Oryctolagus cuniculus: one gene and its partners. The protein of the gene in region 4 interacts with the protein of the main gene of each other region in a biochemical or structural test. Links are inferred from orthologs where the notes say so. Each region holds a gene or a part of one and is shown on either strand. Other genes may lie near its edges.

The links.
Region 1: of the proteins of HMGA1 (region 4) and PRMT6, one has a biochemical effect on the other in vitro, tested with the Homo sapiens proteins (2 studies listed by BioGRID, with this or other methods). The link is inferred for Oryctolagus cuniculus from reciprocal best matches to the Homo sapiens genes HMGA1 and PRMT6.
Region 2: of the proteins of HMGA1 (region 4) and PRKCA, one has a biochemical effect on the other in vitro, tested with the Homo sapiens proteins (2 studies listed by BioGRID). The link is inferred for Oryctolagus cuniculus from reciprocal best matches to the Homo sapiens genes HMGA1 and PRKCA.
Region 3: the proteins of HMGA1 (region 4) and NPM1 interact in far-western blotting, tested with the Homo sapiens proteins (2 studies listed by BioGRID). The link is inferred for Oryctolagus cuniculus from reciprocal best matches to the Homo sapiens genes HMGA1 and NPM1.

The regions. Positions count from the first base shown.
Region 1 is NC_091438.1:63,347,825-63,351,874, forward strand, and holds PRMT6 (protein arginine N-methyltransferase 6), read right to left. Parts: upstream 2,807-4,050; 5' UTR 2,719-2,806; coding exon 1,591-2,718; 3' UTR 162-1,590; downstream 1-161. UniProt on the Homo sapiens protein: Arginine methyltransferase that can catalyze the formation of both omega-N monomethylarginine (MMA) and asymmetrical dimethylarginine (aDMA), with a strong preference for the formation of aDMA.
Region 2 is NC_091448.1:12,520,977-12,525,057, reverse strand, and holds the start of PRKCA (protein kinase C alpha type), read right to left. Parts: upstream 2,807-4,081; 5' UTR 2,577-2,806; coding exon 2,404-2,576; intron 125-2,403; coding exon 93-124; intron 1-92. UniProt on the Homo sapiens protein: Calcium-activated, phospholipid- and diacylglycerol (DAG)-dependent serine/threonine-protein kinase that is involved in positive and negative regulation of cell proliferation, apoptosis, differentiation, migration and adhesion, tumorigenesis, cardiac hypertrophy, angiogenesis, platelet function and inflammation, by directly phosphorylating targets such as RAF1, BCL2, CSPG4, TNNT2/CTNT, or activating signaling cascade involving MAPK1/3 (ERK1/2) and RAP1GAP.
Region 3 is NC_091437.1:58,113,567-58,117,803, reverse strand, and holds the start of NPM1 (nucleophosmin), read right to left. Parts: upstream 2,807-4,237; 5' UTR 2,474-2,806; coding exon 2,416-2,473; intron 591-2,415; coding exon 511-590; intron 42-510; coding exon 1-41. UniProt on the Homo sapiens protein: Involved in diverse cellular processes such as ribosome biogenesis, centrosome duplication, protein chaperoning, histone assembly, cell proliferation, and regulation of tumor suppressors p53/TP53 and ARF.
Region 4 is NC_091436.1:135,099,456-135,103,468, forward strand, and holds the start of HMGA1 (high mobility group protein HMG-I/HMG-Y), read right to left. Parts: upstream 2,809-4,013; 5' UTR 2,650-2,808; intron 2,387-2,649; 5' UTR 2,275-2,386; intron 1-2,274. UniProt on the Homo sapiens protein: HMG-I/Y bind preferentially to the minor groove of A+T rich regions in double-stranded DNA. It is suggested that these proteins could function in nucleosome phasing and in the 3'-end processing of mRNA transcripts.

The DNA of each region.
Region 1 (4,050 bases), on a different chromosome or scaffold from region 4:
GAACTACTTTTACCTCCAGGTTAAAACAAGTCTTCCTAAGACCAGCATTTATACATGATGGTAACTATCCAATCATCAAAATGATGACAATTATAACTGCACTGCTTGCTATTATAAAATTGAAAATTTTGTCAAAGAAAGTCTCATTCAACACAACAAAATTTTAGCAAATTAGTTATATTATTTAAGTATTTTAATATGCAATGAACAAAAGAGCAAAATTACAATAAAGAAAATGTTGTAGAACTTAAGATCACCAATTTTTCACACTTGTTTTCTATTAGCATATAAAAGCTGTTAGTATGGCAAAACCCAAATATTAAGCGTAGTCAACTGCCCTGAAGCTGTATGCTGCAGGGGTTGTAACACATTTCTTAAGAACTGACAGCATCAATAAGGCGAAAGCATTATAACTCAGTACAGAACACTTACTTCATCTATAAAAATAGTGCGAATGTTGTTTTATTTGCCACAAGGATAAGGAGGGAAACATCAGTGAAGTAAATCTGATAACATGACTCACACTTCATTACAAGTGATTTTCCCAAATTCACAACTTTCACATTTGGCTGAGCTAAAAAGAAGAACAAAAACTAAAGAAGTCAATTTCACTAGATGAAAGTAGGCCAAATCACATGCTCCTTCTACATGAGAAAGTTTCAATGAGAATGAGTGCACTTTTCTAGCAGGAAAAATATTTTCCTTGATTTAGTGAACTAAATCATTTACTATGGTAATAAGTACTGGGTTAGATTCAGAAAGCTCCTCTGTCAGCAGGTTTCACAGGAATTACACAAATATTTTGGAACATACATGAAACAGTTTTGGTTGTCTTAACAGTGAAGACAAAAACTTTAAAAATCAATACTATTTGGCTGGTTTCAGATCCTTTTAAACTAAATAGACCTTCTCAATGTCTTATACCTGCTATAAAATTACATAAAGTCCATTTTATTTAATGGACTAATGTGTTCATCAACTTCAGCACCCCATGGAAGTAATAAGAATAATGAGAAGAGGGCCATTTAAACAGCTTCCTCATCTTTTCTTCATTACCAGTAGTCGTTTATTTAAAAAAATAATGAGGAACAAGGATCATAGCCTAGAGGCACCCAGGAAAAGGGGGAATTCAGAGACAGAAATATGGCTCTAGAGATATTAAAGTGACAATGAAAGTTTCACTAAACTTTTTCACCTTTCTGTGAGGTGTCAGGCGTGTGCATGGACCCTTCATAAACTGCCGTTTCATTCGTGTATTTGCTTTTCCTGTGAAACAAAAGAAATGGAAACCCAAATGCTCGGTACCACATGCTTTTGAGGCTTAAACGCCCATTAACAAGCATGGTGTATCTCTTGGTTGAAGGGTGGGGAGGGGACCACTTTGTAGAAAAAAAAAAAAGGAACACAGTTAGAAGAAATCTCCTCAAACGGAGACTGAAGTCAGGTTCCTGCCCCAGCAGCCCTGAGGGAAAAGGGAGCAGACTTTGCCCCCTACTTGCACGTGGGATCGCCCTTTCTCCTCCAACCTCCCTACACCTCTCCCACTCAGGTCAGGCCGCCTTGGGAGGTCGCTGGGAGAAAACGCGGCGCTCAGTCCTCCATGGCAAAGTCTTTGGTCTTTTCCTCCTGGTCCCCCACTTTGTAGCGCAGCAGCACGCGCAGGCGGCGGGGGTTGTCCCGGGAGGGCAGCAGAGTGATCTCTCCAGAAATGTCCGTGTCTTGCTCCACTGGCACCGGCTCGTTCAAGTAGAGGAGCGCCTGCTTCCAGTGTGTGGCCGGGTGAAAAGGCGAGGTGGACAGCACCAGGGGTTTCTCCGAGTCCCCTCCAGGAAAGGTCACCTGGAACCAGATGGCAAAGCCGTGCAGGGGCGCCGAACCGTAGCTGCTGCAGCGGAAGCGCCCGCCCACGCCAGCCTCCAGCTCCTGCTCCAGGCCGGCGCGGGCCAGCTCAAGCTGAGCAAAGCGCTGCGGCCGGGCCAGCACATCCTCGCCGGACAGGCCCTGCACCACGATCTCCGAGTGGCCCATGAGGCAGCGCGTGGCGAAGCTCTCCAGGCAGCTCATGTCCACGCCATAGTGCTGCTTCACCTGGCTCCAGAAGCCCAGGCGCCATTCCAGCATCTGGTCGCTGATGGGGGCTACGAAGAGCTCGGCGGAGGCCGGCAGGAGAAGCCCGCCCTCCTTCAGCCACTTGGTCCGCGCGTGCAGCACGGAGCTCAGCATGGACTCGTGCAGGAGTCCGTAGCCCATCCATTCGCTTACGATGGCATCCACTTGCTCTGGCAGCTCCACCGTCTCCACGGGCCCCGGCAGGACGAGCACCCGGTCCTCCAGCCCGTTGAGCCGCACCACCTCGCGGGCCTGTTGCCAGATGGCGCTGGCCTCCACCGCGTACACGCGCCGAGCCCCGGCCTGGGCACAGAAGACGCTGAGAATGCCGGTGCCCGCGCCCACATCCAGCACCGTCTTGCCTCGCAGCGCTGCCCAGTTCCGCAGGATCCCCAGGCGGTAGGCGTCCGTGCGGACGCGATCGGCGATCATCTCCTCGTGGACCGACACATCCGAGTAGCACTCGTAGTACAGCTGGTCCCGCTCCCGCTTAGTCCTCCGGGGTCGCGGCACGCCAGCCTCCAGCGCTCCACCATCTTCCTCCTCGGCTCCCTCCCCTCCTTCCCCGCCGCCCCCCGACTCATGCTTTCTCTTCTTAGGTTGCGACATCTTGGCCGCTCCGGCCGGCTCCCGGCGGGCGTTGCGCGGTCGGACGCGGGCTCCAGGAAACTGGGGCTTCTGGGACTTGTAGTGTGCGCTCGCGCTTCCTACTTCCTGCGGGGTCGCCAGGCGCGCGCCTACGGAAGACTCCTGGCCTCACCTCTCTGGCCCGGCTCCCTTGGTGTCCCGGCAACCCTTGCCGGCTCACCACACCCACGTTCTGTGTTTCCTCCACGGCTGCGTCTCCGCTCGCCGTGCTCTGGTTTTCCCTCCCTTCCTGAGGTAGACACGCCCAAATAAGACGACAGCTCCACTTTGCTCAACTTTTTGTTCCACCCAGTTATCAGGGCAGCGCGGGACTCACACTGCCTTACCTAGACGGGGGTAATCTAAAAGCCCAACAGGCCGTGAGGTTTAGGAATCAACGCTACACATTGCTGGGTTTGCAGTGTAGTTAGGGTACAAAGAAGGTGGAACAGGGCAAAATAAAACCTAACAGGATAAAACCTTAGTTCTGGTCCTAGTGTGACCACTATAATTGAGTGATTTGAGGTAAGTAGCATAACTTTTCTGGCCTTCAGTTACCATTCACTCCATCAGCAAAAAGGAGTCTTCATTGCAGTTGGAGAAATTAAGTTTCTGGTGTCTATTTCAGAGGAATAGTTCCTTTTTTTTTTTCTTAAACTTTTATTTAATGAATATAAATTTCCAAAGTACAGCTTATGGATTACAATGGCTTCCCCCCCATAACGTCCCTCCCACCCGCAACCCTCCCCTTTCCCACTCCGTCTCCCCTTCCATTCACATCAAGATTCATTTTCGATTCTCTTTATATACAGAAGATCAGTTTAGCATACATTAAGTAAAGATTTCAACAGTTTGCTCCCACACAGAAACATAAAGTGAAAAATACTTTTGCTCTGTTGTCCTGCTCTTGTTGGTTCTGTGGCTCTCAGAAAATCCTTTGAGGATGTAGATTAAAGAATGTTTTAAGAGCAACAGTGGCATGATACAGTCAAACCAGCTGCTAGATGTATTCTGGTAAACAATCATAATTCTTTTGTCCCAGAAATACTGGGATCCTCTATTCTTCTTGATGGCTTTTCCACTGTGACTCATTTTTTGATTTTTTTGTCTCCCTGTCTGGGCAAGGCTGGTGTTCACCTCTTTTATTTTTCTTTTGTTCAACTCTCACCTGTGAATCTGTTCCCTTTAGGTTGTTCATAATGTCCATAATGTTTTTTTAGTGTGTGATGCCTACGTTCTTAACAATGAGAATTACATTTGGCCCCAGCTTAAAATCACACAGAAGAAACTTCTATTTCCTTATGGTCTCAAAAC
Region 2 (4,081 bases), on a different chromosome or scaffold from region 4:
TTACATCACAAAGGATGGCCGGGAACACATTTCGTGTCTGCAGTGCTTACTTCATGTTGTACTTGAAAATAAAATCCAGTGAGACAGCTTACCTTGGCACTGGAAGCCTTGCTTCCCAAACCCCCTGAAAAACAGAAACAAGAATAAAACAGCTTAACAGAGTCTGTGTGGCATAGCACATTTTAAACAAGCTATAGGACAAAATGTTCTACAGAGTTAAAGGTTTGGACCTCCTATCTGGGGAGCTGCTAGGAATGACATGTCCAAGTACCTGGCGAGATCACGGTACAAATTCAACTTGGAAAAAAGTCTCTCTCACCTAGAAGGGATCCAAGAAACATCTCATCACATCAAGCCTCTTTCCAGTTCTTTTCACTCTGTTACTGACACTTAAATTTCAAGACAAGAACATGACAGGGATAATCAAGTAACCAAGAGGAGGTTATAGACAGAGCGGAAAAGGAAGTGGCTGAATTTTGTTCCTAGGGACCAACAGAGAATTGTTTTTCTCCCTATAGAGAGTTAAAGAGTGGCTTATGGGAGTTTGGCTAGCGCTAGACACATGATATTTTAACCAACAGCACCACTTTTAACATTTAATTTTGGCTGGTGGAACCAGATTTTATGAAATATTATCCCTACTGTTTGCATCTCAGATTATCATGATCTAATTTTTAACAATTTACCCTGCAAGGACAAACTCCTCAGTTGCAAACATTGTTCCCCTAGGAACGAACTGCACTGAAATTCTCAGGAGGTCCTCGGTTGTAATCTCTTGCTTTACATAACATTTGAAATGTATACAACACTTCACATACCTTCATACTTAACTTAGGAGTTCTTCCCCCCCCCCCAAAAAAAAAAAGAAAACTGCACATAAATCCAAATATCTAGCCTTAAAATATCAGTGCTGTAATACTGAAGTAAAATCAAGGACCCACCGAAGCAATACTGGAAGAAAACTGAAAATCAAGAACCAACCTTTCCCTGGTATTCCCCGGGGCTGCCTGTTAGGTGTGGACGCTGCCAGGTGCACCCAGGGCGGGCAGAGAGGAGCCCTTTCCTGTCCAGGGCACACTACACCCGGAGACCTCGGTGCCGCATCCGCTCCAGCCTTCGGGGCAGCACAGCGCAAAGACTAGTCAGCCTGCCAGCCCCACCGTCCCTCTTCCAAGTTACCCACTTCGGGCAAAAGGAATCGCCGGCAGTCCCTTCTCTTTTACGCAACCTCACAGCTGACCCTGCAGGCAGCAGCCCTCCGCCTGGGCAGACGCGCCCGGGCGCTCCAGAAACTTATTTTAAGCAGCCTTATCTAGGATTCCCTACTCCTGTGAGCTCAACTCCTCCATATGCGGACTACTCGGTGGAAACCATTCATAGAGGTGCTGTACTTTTCCAAAAAGCCTGTATTTTTAAGCGGATTTCTGAAAAGGCAAAGGTCAAGCCTAAACACCCCATTAGCAGCACTTTCAGAGAGCTCGCCTGTTAGCACCTTTTCCCCCAGGTGTGATGGGGTCAGACGCAGCCAACCAGGCAACGCCCACCCCGGAGCCCCCAGGACACGCGTGCCTGGGAGGGGAGCTGGCTGGTGCCAGGGCACGCCCTGGGCACCTGGGGGCGGGGGGACTAGGGAACCCCAGCCGCAGCCCTGGAACTGCCCACCGGTGTCCTGAGGCAGAACCAACCACTGCGACCCCGAGGGTAGGACCCGGGGAAGACGGGCCCTTCACCTCGCGCTCCCTGAACTTCCCGGGGGTGGGGAGGCCGAGGACCTGAGACCAATGGTGCCCTTTCCAGCTATGGATCCCGCAGGTGCCCCAAACGAGCAGCGGCTGCGTTTCTTGGAAGTCACCTCACTCCGGCACCTTTAGCCATCGGGGTATTTTTCTTAAACAAGGCCTCTGTCCTCCTCCGCCGGGCTACAGGTCTAATCTCGTGTTGACAGGGTCTATTTAAAAAAAAAAAAAAAAAAAGACTCCCTCTGCCCTCCTGCCACTCGCCTGCTCCGCTTCGACCCCCTCCCCCCACCGCGAGCTTCCAACAGTTTGCTCGCTCTCCTGTTTCTCCCCCACCCCGGGCTCACCCAAGGGAGAGAAAGTCTCCGCGCGCCCAGCAGAGCCCGGCTCCGGGAGCCAGGCAGCCGAGGGCAGCACAAACACACGCCCCCGAGCGCGCCCGGGAACTCCGCGCCGCCGCCGGCTCCCTGGTCCTCTGCCTCCCGCCAGCCCGCGGCCGGCTCGGCCGGGCCGGGTGCGCCCCGGCGAGGGGAGAGGCCCCGGCCCGGGCCCCCTCCCGCGGCAGAGCGGCGCGCGCGAGCCGAGCCGGCCCGGGCGAGAGTTGGGACTCCCGCCGGCTCTGCAAGTTGCCCGAGGGCGGCCGCCCGTGCGCCCGGCGCGCACCTACCAGATGAAGTCGGTGCAGTGGCTGCAGAAGGTGGGCTGCTTGAAGAAGCGCGCGATGAATTTGTGGTCTTTCACCTCGTGCACGTTCTTCTGCCTCAGCGCCCCTTTGCGGGCGAAGCGGTTGGCCACGTCCTGAGACGCCGTGGAGTCGTTGGCCGGGAAAACGTCAGCCATGGTCCCCCCCAACCACCTCTTGCCTCCGCCGGGGAGCGGCAGCCGGCGAGGGCCGGGGTGGGCGGGGGCGGGCGGGGGAGGGGCGGCGGGGCGAGGGGCGACCCCGGGCGCGGGGCGCGGGCTGGAGGCGGCGGCGGCCGGGGAGAGGCGAGCGGGCGCGGCGCGGAGCCGGAGCCGCTCGCTGGCTCTCTCTCGCTCGCTCGCTCGCTTGCTCGCTGGCCCCACGCTCACTGACAGCCCGGCGCCCGGCGCTCGCGCTTCCTACTCGCGGCGGCGAGGCGGCCCGGAGCGGCACCGCCCACTGCGCATGCTCCCCGGGCTGGAGCGGCGGCGCGGGCGCGCGCGGGCTGGAGCGGGGGCGCGCGCGCGCGGGGGCTGCGCTGCTCGGCGCGGGCGGGACAGGGGCGCTGGAGCCCAGGCGAGACGGCGGCGGCCGCCGGCGGAGGACTGCCCCGCGCGAGGGAGCCGGGAGGGCCCGGCCGGCCCTTCGCTGCCCTCTCTCTTCCTCCTCCCGGCGCTCCTTCCTCCTCGTTCTCCTCCTCTTCTTCCGCTCCGCTCGCCCGGCCTCCTCCTCCTCTCTCCGCTTCTCCTTTTCGGGATCGGGGTTCTGAGCCTCCCGGAGCCCCCTTCCCCGTCTAACCGCGCCGGTTCGCAGTTGCACCTGGCTGCAGCGCCAGCCCCCGCCCCCGGGCACAGCCCCCAGAGCTTCAAGCTGCCCACAGGTGGCCGGAGAGAGAGGAGCAGCCTGAACCTCGGGGCCCTGACCCTCTCCCCCTCCCTCGGCCGTTGACGGACTTGTGGCCCACGGGTTGTGGAGGCGTCTGCTCCAGACCTCAGGCGTGCCCGCCACCTGGGATCGCTGGAGATTTGTCCTGCGAGTTCACCGGCTCCCAGGCTTTCTTGATTTTACAAGTCCAGAGCCTTAATTTAGAAACCATTTTGTATCCTAAGCTAATTACTGCAATAGTGGCAGGTGCAGAGTGCAGCCCGAACATTTGTAAATTACCGAGTGAGAGTGCTTGTGGAAGAGTGGCTGGCATGGGTATGCGAAGGACACACGTGGCAATGTACCAACTAATCACTCGCTGAATATTCAGTAGGTCTGCCTGGAAGACACTAAAACAGAAAGCAAACAACCATCTCGCAGCATTTCATTATTGTTTTTATTTGCCAGATTCACTAAGTTCACAAAACAACTTCACAAGGTGAAGACACCAGGAAAGAGAGCTCATTGCCGAATCCTGCAAGAAACTTTTAAAAAGACAACTTTTCGAAGCTATAAACCACCTTGGAGAGAGTGTATCATCCAGACCACCACTTTGATTTTTTGCAAATACCTTTTAATTGTGATGCTGGATAATAGGGATTGTATTTACATTTTAACGAGTGGAGGCTGTGGGCCGGCCATTAGTGGAGCCTGCATTTGGCTGACCCATTTATGATCCCGTGCACCAATGCTGATGCTTCGACACTGCACCTGCTTAGCATCCTCTCTGGTCAGAAAT
Region 3 (4,237 bases), on a different chromosome or scaffold from region 4:
ACAATGTGCAGTTCATCCTTGGCACCAGCGCCTAAACTGACCTGTGAACAGTTTGTAAACTTTAATTTCCAACTGTTTTACAATCCTGCCTCGGAAATCTGTGTTTAAAAATACCAAATATGACTTTTATCATTATTTCCAACTTGTGCCAACACTACCTTCAAGTTTAGTAAGATTGGCAAACCAATTTCTCATGTTCAGTAAACTTGAAGAAATACTTAAAAATGCACACATATTATACAGAACACCTATTAAACACCCACTACAAAGCTGAGTAGGTTCGTCTGGCAGACACCCTAGAGATCTTTCATGATTCAAATGAAGCAAGATAATAAAACGGTGACTTGACTTTACCAGATTACCAGGTAGCAGTGAACATGCCCAGCTTTTTAATCAAGTTTATTGATGAGGTATATACAATATCCAATCATAAAAACTCTTATAAGCAGAGAAATAGGGGACAATTAAATTGCTGAAATCAAGAAATGTTTATTTTAAAAGCTTAAGTACCGTTCTTAAAGATAACTGGTGCTCATTTTCATCATTGTCCACTTTAAAGTGATAATCTTTGTCAGCCTTTAGTTCACAACCTGTAAAAGAAAAAAGCAATTCTAACAAGCAGAAAATTAACAAAGCTAACCTTTTAAGTAGTTTTCCTCTACTTTAGCTACCACAGAGTAGGAAGAATGGTCTCTTTCTGGTTTCCTCAACACTCATTTTTAAAAATCATTTAAGGTCCTTACAAGTCTGTATTAGTTGCATTTTCATTACAGTATTTTTCAATACACTGAGACAAGCACTACTACTTCTGCAGACATATCAATAATGAAGCCTAATATATAATAGTTAATTCCCAACCATTTAAAAAACTGGAATTATCTATCTAAACTCCCAATAGTGGAAAATTAGCAATGAGAATGGTTTCTCAGATGAACAGCTTTCATCTACAGAGAAAAGTACCAACATAAAAGAATCAACTTGTAAGGGTCAATATTCCAAAGTGATGCACATTAGAAATAGAGGCAACAGACACAATCAAGGACACTTCCAATATAAAGGGCCAAAAAAAAGAATTATTGTTTATAAAATCACCAGAAACCTCTAAAAATGGCTAAGAATTAAGTCCTAAAGTGCACTACCGTGCACATTATCTACTCCCACTCCATCGGGAAACTGTTTTAATTATTGCCAGAATAAAAATTTACGTGGTTACACTTCACTCCCATTCACAATAGATACTTAAGCATGCTAGTGCTAACAAACCTCAACATGGTTTGTAAACTAGGGGTAGGATTAGCATCTATTTCCATGTCTAACCAACAAAGGGTTCCCAGAATTAAGTTCTACTGTAATTCCTTAAAACTATGCATACATAGTAGTGTGAGTTCGCGGGGGACGGGGGCGCTGTGGTTCCCAATCTCTGGTTACAACCCGAGAACGTTGGTGAACATAACAAAATCCATGCTGGACTACCTCCGCTACACCCTTCCTGGAAAAAAAATAAGCCTCACTTATGAAGCGCTGGCTCTGCAATCAAGGATTTTGTTTAAATCTGGTTTTTAAGCGCAACCTTAACCTAATTACTTCTCTGAGCATCAGACCTGTATTGTGGTTTAGGTCCGTCTACCAGCTGAGGCAGAAAGAGGACTCTAAAAAGGCCAGTTACGGTACAGTTGATGCTGCAGACGCTGGACAAAGACTTCCAGAATCCTAGTTCAATCCGCCACTACACCTATCACTTCCCGCCCAACAGTCTCAAAGCAGCCACAGGACCCCTGGCTGGGGCGGGGGGTGGGTGGGTGACAAGATGCCAGAGCCCCGGATGTACAGCCCACACCCCCTCCCTTCCCCCAACCACGTGGCAACCACGTGCTTCGGGCGGTCGCGGCCTCCTCAAGCCCCGCCGCACATCCCCTCCCCGGTTCACTGGCTGAGGCACCCGAGCTGTCTCCGGGCCCGGAACTCTGGATGAGGACGCCAGGCTGCACCCACCTCCTCCTCCAGCAGGGACTTCCACGCCCCTCCATGCACCCCCCCCAACCTCCTGTAACACGGCCTAGCAACAAGCCAGCCGACTTACACACTACGGGACAAAAAATCACGCCTGGAATCCTACTTCGCAGCCCAGGCAACGCCGAACCTTCAGACGGCCTTGGGCCATGGCCCGCTCACGCCCCAGGCCGGGGGCCGCCGCTCCTCCCCACCCCTTTCACACGGCTCACTCTCTGCTCCCAGCTCCCACCCCGCTCAGCACCAGGACGCCTGCGGTCTGCTCCCTATTCTCTCCGGCCTCCAGTCTGCCGGCCTTTTTCCAACAGCCCGGGCCTCAGTCAGACTCCCGCCGCCCCCTCCCCCCAACCCTTAAAGCCACCACCAGGCCCTGCTCGGCCTCGCTTCAACCCCCACAATAGTTACCGAAAAGATAGTTCTGGGGCCTCAGGGGGCTCATGTCCATGTCCATCGAATCTTCCATGAGGCGGAGGGACGAACTTGGGTAGGAGAGAAAGCGGACGGAGATTAGACGCCCACTGCTGCAAAGAACAGCCGCGCAGGACGGAATCACGCCAGGGAAAGGACGCGGGCTCCCCGCTAGTATATATAGCCACCAGAAATCTCGCGATAGCTTTCCAAGTCCCGCCTCCGCGCGCGTGCTCTTCAGCCCCTTCTCGCAGTACGGTCGCGCTGCTGCGCAAGCGCTCTTCAACACACTCCTCTCTACCTCTCCCCCCACCTCTTCCAGGTACTTCGCGGGCTCACACCGGGCACGCGCACTCGAAACCCTGCCCCACCCCTCTGCCGCCGTCGCCGATGCGCAGGCGCGCTTTCCCCTTGCGGCGCGCGCTCCCCACCTCCGGCGGTTCCACGTCCTCTCCGGTTCCAGCGCGTCGGCTTCGCGCCAAGAGCCTGCGCAGCCCACCCTGCAAGATGGCGACAGCAGGCCTTCGCTGTGCTGGATGCGGAGGCTCAGGCAGTCGGGAATAAGCCAGAAAGCAGCTCCATTCTCCTTCCTCCATCCCCTCGTCTCCCGCAAGCCTCCAAGATGGCATAATCAGCGCGGGATTTTGACCTGCCCGAAAGCCTGGGCTCGGAGCTAATGGCTTCCCCACAGCTAGTCTCAGGTGCCAGAGCGGGAGAACGAGTGGACGACGGTTTTTATTCTTTATTGGCCAGACTTACAGGACTCTGTGTTCTTATAAATCCGCCCTTTCTGAGGAAAAATCAACAAAGTCCTCATTTTTATGGCAACTTGGGGCCACACGGGGACCGAGTCAGCCGCCTCCGCCGGTGCAGCCTCTGGGGATGTGCACTTCCTAACCTTTAACATTCCCGGCGAAAGGAAACGTTTGACTCGATTTAAATGCAGGAACCTTAATTCGAATCTTTGGAAGGCAGCCTGGGAATTAGCATTTTAAACTACTTGACAAACACGTAAGACCTCACAGACCCTGAGCGCTGGGCTTCTTAAGGAATTTTTTTTTTTTTTTTTTTTTTTTTTTTTTTTTTTACCTCAATACATCGAATTAGGAAGTACTGTGATGGTGGCGCCGGTTTGAGGTTTGAGTCCCGGCTGCTCCACTTCATCCAGCTCCCTGGTAATGGCCTAATGTCCCAAGTCCTTGGGCCCCCGCACCCACGTGGGAGACGGGGAAGAAGCTCCTGGCTCCTGGCTTTGCCTGGTCCACACCGACCATTGCAGCCATTTGGGGAGTGAACCAGCGGATGGACGACCTCTCTCTCTCTCTCTCTCTCTCTCTCTCTCTGCCTCTCCCTCTCTGTAATTCTGACTTTCAAGTAAATAAGTAAACTTTTAAAAAAATGTTTTGGATAGATGTTTGTCTATGGTAGTATAATGTAGGTATGTTATAATTTATTTGTTCCTCCATTGATAGGCATATTTTCTACCTAATTTTACTAAAAATATTATTTAGGTAAACATCTTTGTACCTATATTTTTATGGATATCTGAAAGTAGTTTAATAGAATATAGCCTAAGAAATGGACTTCCACAGTAAAAGGATGGGTACTTAGGAATATATGTACATACACTCAGAAATACTTCTTTTATTGTTTAAGTAAGATCACATTTTATCCAGTGTCCTCCAACTTTATTAACGTAGCTTGGTAGACATTAGCCTATCTGTGTGCCAGTGGTCAAAGAAAATGGGAATTTTTTGAAAGTGGGAATATTTGTGTGATGGCACAAGGATACAGGCCTTGGAAACAAACCAACATTTAC
Region 4 (4,013 bases):
CCTGGCCAGTTCGGAAGGGACCAGGGAAGATGAGACGGTGGCAGCTGCAGCAGCCACACACAGCGACTCTGTGTGCATCTGGCGGGGCTCAAGCCTCAAGGACCACCACTCACACAGCCAGGGCTGGTGCCCACCCACCAGGTCTCTGCCCTGTCCCAGGGGAAATCCTTGAGGACTCCAAAGATGGGGACAACTGAGGGAGGAAGATGGTGGAGCCTGCAGCGGGCGGGGTGCGAGGAAAGCCTGCTGGGGGTCTGATTAGCACCCCCCTCCCCCCGCACACACCACGATGAGTTCACCTATCCCTCCTGGAGCAGGCAGCATGGGCCAGCCCGGTCAGCAGCCCCAAGTGGACCTGGAAGCCTGCAGCCACCACCCCCTGCCTGCCCCGCCCCTCCGTCTGTGAAATGCAGGCAATGCTAAGACACCTGTCTCCACTGCCTCCCCACACGGCTTTGGGGCTCCAACTCAGAACAGTTTATAAAAAAACTGAAGCCTCAGAAACCTTCTATCGGTAAATGACTTCTCTTCCTCCTTTGAGAGATTCTGAGGCAATTTCCAATTTTAACCCAGGAAAGAAAAAACATTTTTGCAAACTTGCGATTTTTTTTGAGGACCCAAGGCCCCCACCCCTCAAGCACAGAGCCCCTCCAGACGGCGGGACTTTGTCTGGTAATTACCCTATTTTATATCTCAGACTGGGAGACCCTTGCAAACAAGGTGGTTGATTTAGCCTGCTCCGTCATTAGTGGCTTGGCCTGCTCTGTAATTACAGCCAGTGATTAGAATCTTATATTACACCACAGGCCCCCTTCAAACTAAACATCAAAATTAATCAGCTAAATGAGTGCTGACCTCACATAAGGTCTGCCCAGGGCCCCCTCGCAGGGGGGGTTCCAGTTGGGCGAAGCTGGCCCGGAGTCCCCCGAACCTCTGATGGCATGGGGTGGGTGCCTGCCTCCCCCCTACCCCACCCGGCCAGGCCCCCACGAAGTCCTGAGGCTCTCTCTAGGGAGGCCAAGAAACGTTGGTCTCTATGCCACCTGTTCGCGAACATCAACGAGGCCTGGCCTGGAGCAGCCACGTTTCGGGGCCAACCCCAATCCCTCAGCTTGTAGGAAGCCCACTCGGGTCCCAGGCTCCTCCAGCGCTTAAAGGCCCTGCAGGAATGACCCCAGTACCTCATCTTAGCAGTCCCTTTTATTCTGCATAAAGGAAAAAATAAAAAAGTAGCCCAGAGAAGCCTGATGAGTTTTCCAAGGTCACACAGCAAACTGGCGACCCTCCCAGCCCACCGGTGTGCTCTCCCAGCTAGCGGCTGGTGAAGACCCTGTCGGCCCTTGCTCCAGACCCAGGCGGCGTCTGCAAGTGCCTGCGCCGGGCCGTTGTGGGCAGACCGGCGGGAGTCGGGGCCAGAGCGCGAGGGGGAGGGGCGCAGGCCGTCCCTGCAGGCGCGGGAAACGAGCGCACCCCGGCCGCATGCACCGCCACGCGGGTGCACCCGGCCCCACTTCCTGCCAGAGGGGGCACCCAAGCCCGCCCCGGGGCAGGAGACCTGGCGCGCGCTGGCGGGGGACAGGAAGAAAGCCCCCTCTCTGCGCCCGCCCCGCCAAATAAAACCCCAGGAAAACAGAAACGGGGAGTCCAGGGGACTAGTTCCAACAGAGCCCAGCAAAGCAGAGAAACCAGTTTGTGGGGGCGGAGGGCAGGCCCGGCCCTGGGGGCTGAGGAGGCGCAGCTCGGGCCAGAGGTGGGGTCGGGGTGAAGCCCCAAATCCAGGCCGGGCAGCCGGCTCGTCCCGCGCAGGGGGCGAGAGCCCAATCTCGGGGTTCCCGCCCATCCCCCTCACTTCCAGAACTTCGTGCGGCTGCGGGGGGCGTCCGAGCCCCCGCACGCCCGCCGCAGCCCGGCCTCCTCCCCGCCCCCCACCCCCGGCCCCGGCGGGAGCGGCCGCCGCGCGAGGTGCACCGGGCTCCGCCGGGTGCACAACTCGCGCTCGCCGCAGCCGCGCGCCCCCTCCCCCACCGCGCGCTTGCCTTCCCAGGGTCCCCGCCCCCCCCCCGCAGGGCGCCCGCGGCGCGGGGGAAGGGGTGCGGGCGTCCTCCCCGCGCCGCCGGGCCCCGCCGCCCGCCCCCGCGCCGCGCGGCCCTCCCCCGCCGCCGGCTCGCGCCGCCCCGGCCTGGGAATAAAGCCGGCGGCGCGCGCTGCAGCCCCGGGCGGGGGCGCGGGCGCCCCCCTCGGCCGCCGCCGCCGCGGGCCGCGGGGACGACTCACCGCGAGCTCGGCCGCCGGCCTGCGGTGCGCGCTCCGGGGCTGCCGGGAGCGACGGTGCTGGGCGCTGAGGACCGGCCTGGCTCCGCCGCCGCCGCTGGTAGCAAATGCGGATCTGAAACCGGGAGAGAGGGCAGAGGCGCTCAGAGCCCGCCGCCGCCGCGTGCTCGCCGCCCAGGCCCCCGCGGGGTATTTATATGTCACATCCAGCCGGGGGTGGGGGGGTGGGCAGGAGTCTCCCCCCTCCCCCGAAGGATGGCGAGGGGCAGGAAGCCGGGCACGGCCCGTGCGCGGCCTCAATAAATAAATAATTTAATTAAATTATAGATATATTTAAAAAAAAAAAAAAAGCAGCCACCGGAGCGGCCGCGAACTCACGCCTTCTTGGAGCCGCGCCAGCGCCAGAAATAGCCCCGGCTCGGAGTCCCAATTAGAGGAGCGCAGCCCCGGCTCAGGGGAGCTTAAAAAGAGCGACCCAGGGGCAGGGGGGACGGGCCCGCCCGCGCCAGCCGTGTCACCGGGGGGCGGGGCCATGCAAATGAGCCCGGGGATTTAAAAGGGCGGCCGCCCGCCAGCCGCCGCCGCCGCCGCCGCGCGGGTGGGTGCTAGGCTGCTGTGGGGGTGCGCCCAGTCACGATCCACTCCCCACAGTCCTAGGGGGAGCAGGGCGCCGAGCAATCTCGAAGGGGCTTCTGGCGTCGGGGCGGGGGGCGGGGGCGTCCTCACCGTCTGGAACCGGAGTCCCGGGACAGTCACCTCTAGGGGCGCTCCGGGCGTGTGCGCCCCGCCGTGGGGGGTGTGGGTGGGCCTTCGTGCCCGCGGGGGTCCACGCGGCCGGAGTGGGGCAGAGAAACGCGGGTGTGGGAGACTTCCGCGGCCTACGCGCCGCCCCTTTCCCTTACACCGACGGCCTGCGGATTTCTCCAGGCCGACAGGTGTGTCAGCATGTGCGTTTCAGTGACATCCCGCGCGTGACTGGCGGGTGGGGTACCGTCTTGTGAAATGCAAGGTGTTTAGATTTTGTTAACGGCCACACGCGAAGCATGACCAAGGTCCAGCCTTCGAGCGAGACACAACTGGCTCGCTCGCGGGCTGGACCCGAGCGGGGCGTCACTCCCTTTGGCGCCCTCCGGCCGTTTTGGAAGCACGCGGTCCCGCAGTGGCCCCCAGATTTCTCATCTGCCGTGGTTTAAAAAAAAAAAAAACAACAACAACAAAGGGTTGGGCCGGCGACGCCTGGAAGCGCTTTGCGGGCAGGGTCTGAGCTGACGCGCGCCGTCCGGGCCCGCCGCGCCGGGCTCCACCGGGACTTGTTGCGCTGAACGAGGAGGAAGCCAGAGCGGGAAGATGGCGGTGGGGGAAGAGAGGGCAGGGTCGGAGAGGGGAGGCGCGCCCTGCAGGCCGGGCCGCGGCCCTGTCGGGCGCACCTCCCGCGCCCGGTCCCCGAGGCGGCCTTCCACACCTCCTGTGAGGCAGGGAATTGTAATGCGGCCCAGTGACACACGGCAGTGACTCATGTTTTTCTTTGCTCCCCTTCTTCCTCCCTGGTCAGCGAGGCCCAGGCCCAGCCCCCTCCTCAGGGGGCGCGCGGAGGGGCGGGGGCGGGGGTGGGGGGGCGCGAGGAAAACCCGGAGCCCGCAGTGGGGGCGGGGTGGGGAGCCCGAGGGGCCGGGCCTCCAAGTTTCAGGAATGTTTCAGGAATGTTTCCGGTGGGGGAGGGGGCCGGCCCCCACCCCGGGGCC